2 linked regions of the Drosophila melanogaster genome follow. The protein of the gene in region 1 interacts with the protein of each later gene in a pairwise test. Each region holds a gene or a part of one and is shown in the gene's direction. Other genes may lie near its edges.

Region 1 (7,400 bases):
TCGCAGAGCAATTCAGCTTTGCATAAATGTTATTATAAGGAAAAGCTATTAAAAAACAAACAAATTGCAATGGCCGATGACAAAGTCAGAAACTTCGAAGATCTAGATTAAAAATAGATATATAAATCTAAGCGTATTTGTTTTTATCGATTTTCGTTTTTTATTCAATTACATTTATACAACACATTTAACAACTGTCGGTTTTCGTTCGGTCCTTAACGGATGCGCAGGCGACGCAGGATGTTGGCGGGCAGGTAGGAGTTGCTCGTGGCGGCGGCTGGTGGGGAGTAGTTGGGGCCACGACGAGCGGGAACCACGGGGGCAGCGGAGGCGAAGTTGATGGCGTTGGCAACTCCTCCGTTGATGGACTGGCTGGATCCTCCCAGGTTATCGTACTGCGACTGGATGGCACGCTGGGCATTGGCCGCATCCTCGGGAGTCCTGTACTTGACGAAGTGCACCTCAGGACGCTGGTTGGAGTTCTGGCGGGCGGCATTGAATTTCTGGGCCAGATCTCCAATGTCGGTCTGCTTGTTCAAGACATAGATGGCGGTCCTCTGCTCGGCAGCCTGCTTGGCGAGGGCCAGAGCAGCGTTCTCCAGGCCACGGTTTTCGGGTCCCTTGATGAAGACCACGCGGAGTCCCTTGTTCACGGAGCCGGCGATCTTCTGGGCGGCCAGAGGATCCTCGAACTGGCTCTCGTCAGCCTCGAAGGTGTAGTACTCCTTGTTCAGTTCGCTGGAGACCGAGTAGTCCGGGCTGCTGGCAGCACCATCGTAGGAGTCGCCAACACTGCTTCCGGAGTAACTGGGAACATTATCGGAGGCGGCTCCGGTAAATCCCGCTCCGTAGTTGTACTGGGCGCATGCGGCACCAATCAGGCAGAAAGCGATGAGGAAACGCATGGTGAAGGTTTGGTTTTGTAGGCTGGGTGTGCTTAACAGGCAAAGGCCAAGACTGAATCCTGAGACTGAGGTGAGCAGCTTATATACCCATCTGGCGTAGTTAGAACCGACTTAGAACTATAACCGACACCATTCCCGTCGGGTTGCTACATAACTCAACTAGTTTTTTATGCAAAGCGGTGCGCTTATGAAATGATTATGCAAACTATCCTAAAATTCTCGCCAATACATCCAGTCGGCGACCCCCGACTTTCTGCCCAATTGCAAAAGCCAAATTCTCGACCGGTTCATGGCGCCGCGATTTATTCTTGACCGGGGCAAAACTGCCCGGAATTCGATTGGGGAAAATGCTGCAAAACTATCAAACCCGTTTCCAAAAAAAAAGTCAGAGCCCGTCCAAAAATGTTCTGATGGTCATTAAAGTCGAACACAATGTGATGCATTCTTTGAGTTCCGCCTACGAAACGATAAAATCTTAATCTATGCGAACTCCATTGATAGTTAATGGTTTGTTGTTGCTTTCTGTTTGTCGCCTTTTTTGCTATCGAAAGTGGGTCTAGAATTTGAAGTGACTTTTTAGTTTGAGGTTCAAAGTCAAAAAGAATGTCGGAAGCTTGCTTTGAACTCTGGGCAAACCTGTTTTAAATAGTCTGGGAATTCCATACAAGTCCCGTATATAAGAGCCAGAATATTTGCGTCCAGTCAGTTTAAAATCTCATTTAAACGGAGAAGAAGAACGTACAAGCAATCAAACAATATGAAAAATGCTGTGTTTGGATAGAAGGATATCATCATCAAAAGTTCTGCTGATACTTTTCTGTAATCCATACAAAATAATCGTTTGATAGTGTTTTGTCATCTTAAGCTAAGCGAATGAAAGTGAAGGGTTTTAACGTTAAATTTTATTTTCCTTATTTTTGAAAACTATAAATTTTCTTCAGTTGGAGTTCAACTGATGTGTTCATGTGTCATTCATTCAGAGGCGTTCATAAAATAAGCATTTAAGTTTTTTTCATCCAAAACATTTTTTTTTTCAAATGAATGAAAATATGAATATATATATATTAATGAATATATATGTAGGAAAATAAAGTGTAAAATACAATAAGTTGTTTGGATTTGTTTCGGCTAAAAATCCGTCTTAAGTGTTCTGTTTACGGAATCGCCCAAAAAAATCAAATCAGATTACAACAATTATTTTTTTTTATTTATGGAATAAGACAACATGATAACTAGGCAACAAAATCAACATCCTGTAAATGGCACTTAAACACGGAAGCGACGGAAGATGTTGGCGGGCAGGTAGCTTGGTCCTGGAGCACTGGCAGCGGTGCTCTCGCGTGGAGCCGGCTGGGAGGCGAAGTTCAGGGTAGAGGCAACACCTCCATTCTGGGACTGACTGGATCCTCCCAACTGATCGTACTGACCCTGAATGGCACTCTGGGCGTTGGCAGCATCCTCGGGAGTGCGGTACTTGACGAAGTGCACCTCGGGCTTGTTGTTGTTGTTGTTGCGGATGGAGTTCAGCTTGTTGGCCAGATCACCGATATCAGCCTGCTTGTTCAGGACATAGATGGCGGTCTCCTGCTGGGCAGCCTGCTTGGCCAGAGCCAGAGCGGCATCCTCCAGACCGCTGTTCTCGGGTCCCTTGATGAAGACCACGCGGAGTCCCTTGTTCACGGCGTTGGCAACACGGTCGGAAGCAGATGGGTCGTAGAAGTCACCCTCGTCGGCGGTGTAAGTGAAGAATTCCTTCTCGAGTTGGGCCTGAGGAGCAGCGTAGTTGGGAGCAGCAGCAGATTGAGATCCTTCCAGGGCATCAGCAATGGATGAGGGACCGGGGGCAAAGGATGCACTAGGAGCAGGCGCGAAAGCGGGTGCATCGCTGCTGGCCGATCCAGATGGCTGGAAGCTCAATCCGGAGGGAGAGTGGGCCACCGGTTGGTAATTGTAGCCAAGTTTATCGGCCGTGGCCAAGGCAATAAAGCAAAGGACGACGAAGGAACGCATGTTGACTGTTTGGATGGCAAAGATGATTGGTTACTGACTTATCGAGTCGAAATTTTGGCTTTTATAGGTGCAATATTCAGTTCTTCGGCTGCAGTATGGTGCGATATGAATTATGAACAGCTCAAATTTGCCTTAAAAATGCATAAATAAGAGATTAAAATGTTAAATTTATAATATAATTTTATGATTCGTCACACTGCTGCTGCGGTTGCAAATTTTTGCATGGCTTTGTTTTTACTGGCTCTGCGGAAAGCGGCATGCAAATTATGAGCTAACCAGAATTGGCCAGTGAGGAGGTTCATAGTCCGACTCGGATTGCCAAATCAGATGGCGCCAAGTAATTTATTAAGAGACCAATTATCGAATTATCTGATTTGGCGCTGACAAGGCGCAGTGGTGCAGTTTTTAATTGGCAACCGGCCTAGGCGATCAGAAACCATGTATATATATTAAGTAAAGATGGCTGCTATATTTAGCGATGAGTTCGATTCTTCACTTCCGGCGGATGGAAGGTCGCCTCCACCCGCAACATTAGCATAAAGCAGCTAAACACAGCGACCAAGACGACAAGACAAAGCCGCTGAATAAGGCAATAATAATTTGGCGAATCGTTAAAATATTTATTTTTGGCAGCGGTAACGCGACTAGGCGCGCCTCATTTGCATGTGAAACGGCCTGTCAAACGTTTTGTTTGCTCTCCGGCCGATTTAGGTGACACTTCTCATCCCGGGCGAACTGGGAATGGGTTTGGATTTGTGATACACATGTGATACATGAGTAACAAGGCATCCATCTAAATAGCCCCAAATGAGGTTTACGATGCTCTTGATGCTCTGTCCGCGGCTTTTTATAGCCAGATTTTATTGATTTCAACGATAAAGCTACATGAAAATACCAAAATGGCAAGGTTGGCCCACAACACTGGCCAAAAGCGGCGCCGAAGAATACGCGAATTATTGATTAAGGCAGCATATTGAATTTAATATGAATTTTATGGCGCCAGCTCCGGCTCATACATGGCCCGTACCTCTTCCTTCTGAGTTTCTACGTTGACCTCATGATGCAGCCACCCGCTTCGCTTGCATATTTTAGCGGGGTGGTACCGGTACTGCCTGATCTAGTTGGCTAAGACCGTAATTAGACCGCTTTATGCAGAGCGTTTTGCATAGCAGTGGCTTTCATCTGCATAAAAGCGAAAGAACCATCTCACACCATCATCAAATCCCACAACCACCTCACCCGCTCAACATGCGTCAGTTCTCCGTAGTTCTTTGCCTGTGCCTCGCCGTTTTGGCCAGAGCCGATAAACTCGGCTACAATTACCAACCGGTGGCCCACTCTCCCTCCGGATTGAGCTTCCAGCCATCTGGATCGGCCAGTAGCGATGCACCCGCTTTCGCGCCTGCACCCAGTGAATCCTTTGGCCCCGGTCCCTCATCCATTGCTGATGCCCTGGAAGGATCTCAATCCGCTGCTGCCCCCAACTACGCTGCTCCTCAGGCCCAACTCGAAAAGGAGTTCTTCACTTACACCGCCGACGAGGGTGACTTCTACGACCCAGCTGCCTCCGACCGTGTTGCCAACGCCGTGAACAAGGGACTCCGCGTGGTCTTCATCAAGGGACCCGAGAACCGCGGTCTGGAGGATGCCGCTCTGGCTCTGGCCAAGCAGGCTGCCCAGCAGGAGACCGCCATCTATGTCCTGAACAAGCAGGCTGACATTGGAGATCTGGCCAACAAGCTGAACTCCATCCGCAACAACAACAACAACAAGCCCGAGGTGCACTTCGTCAAGTACCGCACTCCCGAGGATGCTGCCAACGCCCAGAGTGCAATTCAGGGTCAGTACGATCAGTTGGGAGGATCTTCGCAAGCTCAAGATGGTGGAGTGGCATCCACCCTGAACTTCGCTTCCCAGCCCGCTCCTGTTCAGGCTGCCAGCAGCCAAGCGCCCGCCCAGTTCCTGCCCGCCTCCCAGCCCGAGGCTACTGCACCCATCTCCTCGTATGTGCCACCTGCCACCCCAGGTAGCTCCTACTTGCCCGCCAACATCCTGCGCCGCCTGCGTTTCTAAGTTCCTGGCATTTCCTTTGTTATTGTTGAGATTATAATACGAAATAAATTTGTTTAATAATATAAATTTTTAAGTTGTTGTTACTCTTTTTGAGAGCTATTGATATAAATGGTATAATCAGCTATTTTGAGGATTAAAAATACGTAATAAGATAGTCTGGATGCTCCTGAAATTCCCGACATTCTTGTGCTATTGTTTAGATTTGAAGACCTAATAAAATTGTTTTAAAATGTAAATTATTAGGTTGGCTTGCGGATCTTCGCGGCCAACATTCCTAGGCATATTATCAGCCAGAATTAAATTTCCGAGGCACAACATTTTCGCACTCGGCGGCTGGCAAACAAGTTCGACTTGCGTTGAATTATGAGTCCGTCCGGCTAAGCTGTTTGTGAAAATTGCAAATGAGCGGAAACCTAAGATGTTTTCTCTGGCATCGCTTTGAATAATCTGCTTCGTGTTAATCTGTATAATCTGGTGTATAACATATGGCTTATCGGCTACTTGGCTGCCCATGCCTACCTACGCACTTCGCGGTTCGAAATTGAGATGGCACTCGGTTTGACAAATTGCACGAGACATCGGGCGACAGACGACAATGGTCAAATGCCGAAAATCCATTGGGGCGGGCAATTTAAAATTATTAAGCTGGGAAATTAGCCCAAAAGCGGAGGGCCAGAGTCTTACTTTCAATCATCCCCAGCTCGATTTGCATAACAAAATGGGCGAACAAAAGAATGCGGCTACTGCATAGTCAGACAATTTGGAGCTTGGAGCCGCTACCGCCCAGCCCTTTGTCGCCTGATTTACATAAAAATTTTGTTTTTCCGTAAGCTGCAAGTTCATCAAAATTTAATCAACGCCGCCGCCAACGCCACAGCTTCTGCTTTTGCTTTAGCTTCTGCCAATAGGTCTAGACCAAATCGAGCTTGGGCCAAAGCCGCCAAGTGGAAAAAGAAAAACAGAAAAACAGGTTAGGCTCGCAGACAATGCGAACCTTATCGCGATCTCCAGCACGCTGTCATTCGCCTGTTCTGATTGACGCCCCTGCCGTGTCGGCCAGGCCATATAAATGGCCCGGCGGCTCAGCTCGACATCATTCTGACTTCCGACTCCGGAGCTCCAACTAGAACAGCAATCAGTTAACAGCAAGATGCGCGCCTTCGTCGTCCTGTGCCTGGTGGCCATCGCCTCCGCCGACAAGCTCGGCTACAACTACAAGCCCGTGGGCCACTCCAGCTCCGGACTCTCCTTCGCTCCTGGCAGCGGATCCCTCAGCCTGGGAGGCGGCGGTGGATCCTTGGGCCTGGGTGGCAGCAGCGGATCCTTGGATCTGGGAGGAGCCAGTGGATCCCTCGGCCTGGGAGGCGGCAGCAACTTCGGCAGCTTGGACGGCGGCTTTGGCGGTCTTGGCGGTGGCTCCATCGATCTGGGATCCTCCGGCCTGGGTTCCTCCGGTCTTGGATCTGGATTGGGATCATCTGGTCTTGGATCTGGCCTGGGCTCCTCCGGCTTGGGATCTGGTCTGGGATCCGCTGGACTGAGCGCCCCCGTCTCCTACAATGCCCCCGCCCCTGCTGCTGAGCTCCAGAAGGAGTTCTTCACCTACACCGCTAACGAGGAGGACTTCGATGAGCCCCAAGCATTGGAACGCGTTGCCAGCTCCGTGAACAAGGGTCTGCGTGTCGTCTTCATCAAGGGACCCGAGAACCGTGGTCTGGAGAACGCCGCCCTTGCCCTCGCCAAGCAGGCTGCCCAGCAGGAGACCGCCATCTATGTCCTGAACAAGCAGGCCGATATTGGAGATCTTGCCCAGAAACTGAACGCCATCCGCAGCAACTCCAACAACAAGCCCGAGGTGCACTTCGTCAAGTACCGCACTCCCGAGGATGCTGCCAACGCCCAGCGCGCCATCCAGTCGCAGTACGACCAATTGGGAGGATCCTCTCAGGCTATCAACGGCGGAGTTGCCAACGCTCTGAACTTCGCCTCCGCTGGCCCAGTGCGTCAGGCCACCGCCCAGATCCCCGAGAACTCGTACCTGCCCTCGTCGGTGCTGCGTCGTCTGCGTTACCGCCACTAGGAAGTGCCATAGCTTTCAGCTGCCCTATTTGTTGACTTTTTGTGTTATCTATTGATTTGTCGAACGAACCGCTCCAATACAATACTTTTTTAAATTAATGATCGGGCTATTTCTGTCCTGTGTGTGGGAACTGAGCTAACCATAAAGCTGTCGGGAATTTTTGACGATTGAGCCACTCACTGCGGGGCAGAGTGAGAAATTGCAAAGCTCGGCGTTTATTACACGCCCGGAGTGGCAATAAAAATTCCAAAGCGATGGCGCCAAATGGAATACAAGTGGAAATCAATAAAAATTTACATGTTTTGGGATGCAGAGAGAAAAAAAAACAATCG
Region 2 (5,684 bases), 4.3 Mb from region 1:
GATTAGAATCTTTAAAGAAGTTCAAACTATTCGTTTGAACCCGTTTTTCTTCCCTCTGCTGTGTGGCTGCAAAGAGGTGGATTCCCGGGTGAGCGGTTGTTGCCATATTTTAAGTGTTTTCTGGTTTTTCGGCCACTGTGCACGGTGCTTTTAATTCCTATGGCGGCGCTCGCCTGTAATTTATGTGCTTAACTTTCACACTCGGCTGGCTAAAACAGTCACCGAAAAATCGTCATAAAAATAGAAAATATATATATATATGAACACTCTCGTACTCGGCCATTTCACACTTTTGCGCCTTTCGGCCGAAAAGCGGTGGAAAATGAAAGCGAAGCCACAAGGACAACGGCTAAATGCGGAGGAGGACGAATACATTCCAGTGAATATTTATGAGCAACCAAAGTAGCATTTGTGCTTTACATTCCGACTTTATTGTGGCCATCGTTGCTGAAGTCCAGCCAGTTGTTGTTGCCTCTGTGTGCAACAGTCCCGTCCATCGTTGAAATTCAGGCCGCCCTTTGTGGCTGCCATTGCTTCACTGGAATAAATATTCAAATTGTATGTAATAGTTTATACTACTACTCTATTCTATGAACTCGCATTTGATCATCTACTTAGGTTTTAATATATCAAATATTTCGATAGAAACTATCTTGTTTATTATGATGTTCAACTGATATTTTAATTAAGTTGCTTTTTACTGTGTAATGTTGGCGCTGCTCTTGTTGCTGTTGCCGTCCTCTCATCTCTGTCAGCTTTTCCGACTCTGATGAGTTTATGCTTGGAGCACATATTACTTTATTCCAGAGTGTGCCTAGGCCCCTGGCCACGCCCCCCGCCCATGTGGTTTTGGCCCACCAACACAGGCACATGCACACAGTCGGCCATTCATGACTGTCATGAGTTTTCCGCAATTGATGGTCTAATTATGCCGCCAACACTAAATTTCATGACTTTGCTGGTCGACGAAGGCCGCCGATGATGAGGGGGTAGAGGGGAGGGGGTATTTTCCGAGAAGGGGAATTGTAATTTAATGGAAAAACATTTTGCCACACATCCACGGAGAGCGGAAAATGGGAGCTGAAGCCAAGGGCCACTTTACAGTTTGACAGTCACTGCCAGACGGTTGACATTTTAGCTTGGATTTATGGCCACCTCTTTGAAATGGCTCGTATGTTAATGCAACAGTTTGAGAAGCGTAGTTTTATGGATTTGAGTTTAAGAGCCCTTTTTGTTGAAAGCACATAATCATATAACTTATGGAGGCATTTACAGCAGCTGAAAGGCAGCTTATTATAAAAAACATATTTCTTATTAAAGCTAAAATATTAAACTTTACCAATAAGAAGTAAACTATTTAGATGAATAAATGTATTCTAATCAATTTAAGAGAGGTATAACGTTACTATTTAGTTTCTATTAGCTTATTTTTACTATTTGATTAAGCCAATTAGCTAGTCATATTTTTTGTAGCCGGCTAATTGAGATCCACTCAATCGAGAACCGCTGTCGGGCCTCCAGTTGGATCTGTAAAGCCGAACTGGTAATTATCATACCGAAACCAATGGGGCACATCAAAATGTTCACACTTCATAATATTTGCATATTAATGTGCATGTATAATTAGCTTCGAAATAATTAATGCCCGAAAACAAGAAACCTAATCGAATGCCTAGGCAAAAGCAAGCATCTCCCAATTAGAATCCATGGCATCGGAGAATATTTGATGTGTGAAGTTAGTTAGCCGGAGTTAGTTCTCACCGAGAGTTTCGAGTGGAAGGTCTCTGGCACTAATAAGTCTTTAAATATGTATCCAAATTGGCTCGTTCTGCTCCACTTGCCGCTGGTTTGTTTGGGAGTTGTTTCGCAAACATTTGCACAGCCGCTGACAAAGTAGGTCGTGTGAATGTGCTGGAATGAATCTCGCCCAGTGTGTGGGTGGTGGTTAGCGGGTCAATCTATTGAGCAAACTATTTGCTTACAGGCACCACAACACCGGCATCCTGAGCATCAATCGGGCGGAGGGACAGAAGATTGAGGAAGCCGCGCTCCAGCAGCATCTGCAACAAATCACGGGCAGCGAAGCGTTGGCGCCATTGTTGCACGAGTTACTGGGCCAAACTGTGCCAAATTGGCAGCAGCCACAGCAGCAGCAGAAACATCAGCAGCCACGGCAGCAGCAGCAGCAACACTACCAACAACAGCAACCAAAATGGCAGCAACAACAGGCCACAAATCAACCGCAACAGGAACAGGGGCAACACTTTTTTGTTTATGAAAACGCCGCGGGTCAACCACCTCAAATATTGGCCGGGTTCAATGGCGTCAATGTGCAACCTGAACAACCAGGCCAGCAACTGCGTCTCCAGCCAAAGCCAATTCAGACGGCACAACAATATGGAGGAGTCGGGCCAAAAGTCGTTAAGGCGCCGCCAGCCGCAGCTGCAGCCGTTTGGGCGCCACGAGTCGAGAGCCACCCGCCGTAAGTAAACACTGAAAACTACCAACTTATATAATCCATTATTTGCATTAAACAATGCATTTTAATTAGCCCATACCCATCTGCGGCAACTGCAGCGCCAGCAAGTTGCCAACTCGGCAGGAATCCGTCGGAAGTTGCCGCTCCTGCCAGCCCCAAAGCCACGCCCCCCGCGCTATGTCCGCCTCCTTCGGGTGGCCAGGAGACGATCCCCTTGCTCAGTGCTGCGGCGCTCAAGGCGACAGCTGGTTAAGTTTTTAATTAAATCGCTGGCATAATTAATAAAGATGCGCATAGAGAGTCGGGCAAAGTGTTGCATACTTTTGGGGCGGCCGATCGCATGGGTGTATTGGTTGCCGTGCACATGTGTGTGTGTGTACTCAATATTCATTCATGTGAGAGCAGCAGCTGTGTCAGTTACTGCAAAAAAAGTGAACTGGCTTTTTTGAAAATATCTTTATTAAATTCGAGGATTTTGAATAACCTTGAATAAACAGATGTAACAGATTCTAGATTTTTCTAGAATTTTTTTTTCTAATCCGTAACCAGATTTGGCTTCCAATCTCCCAAAGCCCAGAAAGAACTCGAACAATACGTATGAGACTTATTTGTCAGCGTGCCTGCTCCGGCCTAGCAGGACCTCCGCCCACCAGGACTCGTTTCGAGCTGTCACCGAACTCAGCATAAAAGTAAAACATTCAACTAAAAACAATTTCTAAAAATATATGTGTACGAATATAAAACATGCAACACGAAAAAACCGCACAAAACACTTCACGTTGAGTGCGACTCGCAAATTGTGGGGCGTCTGTGTGAGTGAGCTGCACCACCGACACCAACAGCACCACCGCAGAAAAGAAGCAAAATAATAAATAAAAATCCGCAAAATGTATGTGTGGCGGAGCGTTGAGTCTGCGGCGGAGTGTTTTTCGCAAGTGTTTGAGCGGGAAAAATGAAAGTGCTGAAGTGTCGCCCATTGTTTGTCCTGTCAACTCAACGAAGCCGCAAGAAGTTGATGACCGGAATAGTTGGGGGATGGGCTCAAAAGCAGGTCTATAATCTAAAGGAAGATCTTTGGGACATTCCTTGGTATCGAAACAATAAGAGTGGCGGGTAAACTGAAGGGACGCTTTTGGTGTCTAACTAAAATTTTAATATACTTACTAAAATAGGACATATACTCTCAAAGAAAGTTACCCAGCAATCTATTCGCTAGAAGTCGAAAATTGTTCTCAGCATACATATCTGGTTTAAAAATGTGTATTTGTTAATATCAAAGTAAGTCTTCCAAATCTGAAGTTCGCAGTAGGTCCTGGCAGTCAAAACTGAAATTGAATTGGATGTGGTTGTGACTCCGACCCTCTGACGTCTTGCAGATGTGAGTAAACTGGCATACGGATGACTCCTTTGTTGTCATCGGCACTTTGGTACACACTTTATAGAGCTCCATTCGAAGGCTCTAATTTCATGCGCGCATAATCAGGGAGCGTGGCTAATTAAATTCTAAACATTCGCCAGCATGAGCGCACTAAAAAATGTTTTATATGACTAGAGTCTCGAGCCCCATCCAGTGTTTCCCCATCTCTTCGTGAAATCTAACCCCATCCCATACCATTCCATACCATACCCATTCCATTCCAAGCCAGCCTTCATTCCAATCTCGAGCTGGTGCTTTGTAATTGCAGATCCCGGACTTCGTACACGCCCCTATGCAAATGGCATAAAGCTGATGATGCTGTTGTTGCCGCTATTACACTGAAAGAAACTTCAAAAGTAAGATTTAAAATGCAATAGAAAGTTCTCAGTTCAAATGCGTTTTTCTATTGGATTAAGTTCTCCAGTTTCAGTTGCTTTTGCGTGGACATTTTTTTTCGGGCTTGTTGTAGTTTTGTCTCACTACATTTTTTCCAGTGCTGTTGCTGCTGCTTCGGCTCCGTGTTGTTCTCTTTGTGCCCATCTGCAACCTAATCTCATCTCGCGCTGACGGCTTTTGAACTGCCTTCGTTTGTTGTCGTTGTCGTACTCTAAATTAACCGTTTCGTTACGTCAGCGCTGTCTTTTGTGCGTTGACAGAAGCGATTGTTGTTGTTGTTGTTACTGCTGCTGCTACAGCCACTGCCAAGCGAATCCTGTAGTCCCGTAGCAGAGTCCTGTTTAGTTGCAAGTTTGTATGAGGCAGCCGTGCGTGCCCGGTCGCCTGGCAATTGGAGCAATCAGCCAGCTGAACTCAGCCCGGCTCTTCAGCTTTTTGGCCCATTTGCAGTTCCAGACAACCCATTCCAGCTTCAAATCCCACTTTCAGACCCAATCCTATACACAAGCCCAATGGCAGTGCCCCAGCACTCAGCACAGCTCGGAGACAGTTGGCTTTGTCTTGTCAGCTGGGTCCTGGCACTGTCCTGATTGGCATTCACAATTAGCGAGCGGGTAAATAGAGAGATGCTGCAAGAATGTTCCAAGTCCGGGTGTCTAATATAAAGAAAAGCTATTTTTGGGGGATCGCGAACTAGCCCTTTTATTGTAGAGGATCACAAACGCTCCTATTATATAAAGCTCATTACTAAAAGCTTACAGATGACTTTTATCTGTAGGTGCTAATAGTCATTGGTCATAGTCATTGACATTGGTCATCTCAATCCTATTATGCTTTTGAATGATGTAGTGGTCAGCGCGAATCCACCCAAACCCTAGGACACACTTGCCAAAATGGTCAACTGAAATGCCTGAAAGTATGCAGCAATATATAGTTCACGCACACAATGACAACAACTGAAGAGAGAGAGAGAGTGTGTGCGTGTTTGTGTGGCATTGGAATAATGTACTCTTAATTTGTTATGCGTGTGTGATTAATGATCCATGCATAACGATAACTTTGACTCATTACACCTGCTGATTTATCGCTGTCAACGGGCGGTCCACAATATGTGACCCAACCTCGCCCCACCTTCATAACCACCTCCCTTTTCATCCACACAAAAACACAAACGCACACACTCGCATCATCACTGGCACATGTAAGTGAATTTTGAATTTTGATTCGGCCACTTTCGCTTAATCATTTCGCAATTAGCCGGCATTGTTAGGGTATTTGCATTGATTTATTGACGCTGTCGCTAAGATTGCGCTGCGTTCAATTTTCCCTATTGGCATTTTTAATTTTCCCATTTTCCATGTCAGTTAACTTTCGACTACAGTTCGCCAGCAT

What was found.
Region 2: the proteins of TwdlJ (region 1) and CG5386 interact in a two-hybrid assay, tested with the Drosophila melanogaster proteins (one large-scale study listed by BioGRID).

Annotation. Positions count from the first base shown.
Region 1 is NT_033777.3:26,625,793-26,633,192, forward strand, and holds TwdlJ (TweedleJ), read left to right. Parts: upstream 1-4,125; 5' UTR 4,126-4,163; coding exon 4,164-4,988; 3' UTR 4,989-5,033; downstream 5,034-7,400. Other genes in the region: TwdlO (TweedleO), read right to left, coding at 216-905; TwdlK (TweedleK), read right to left, coding at 2,172-2,915; TwdlN (TweedleN), read left to right, coding at 6,139-7,068.
Region 2 is NT_033777.3:22,338,338-22,344,021, reverse strand, and holds CG5386 (uncharacterized protein), read left to right. Parts: upstream 1-1,770; 5' UTR 1,771-1,807; coding exon 1,808-1,893; intron 1,894-1,984; coding exon 1,985-2,482; intron 2,483-2,551; coding exon 2,552-2,732; 3' UTR 2,733-2,786; downstream 2,787-5,684.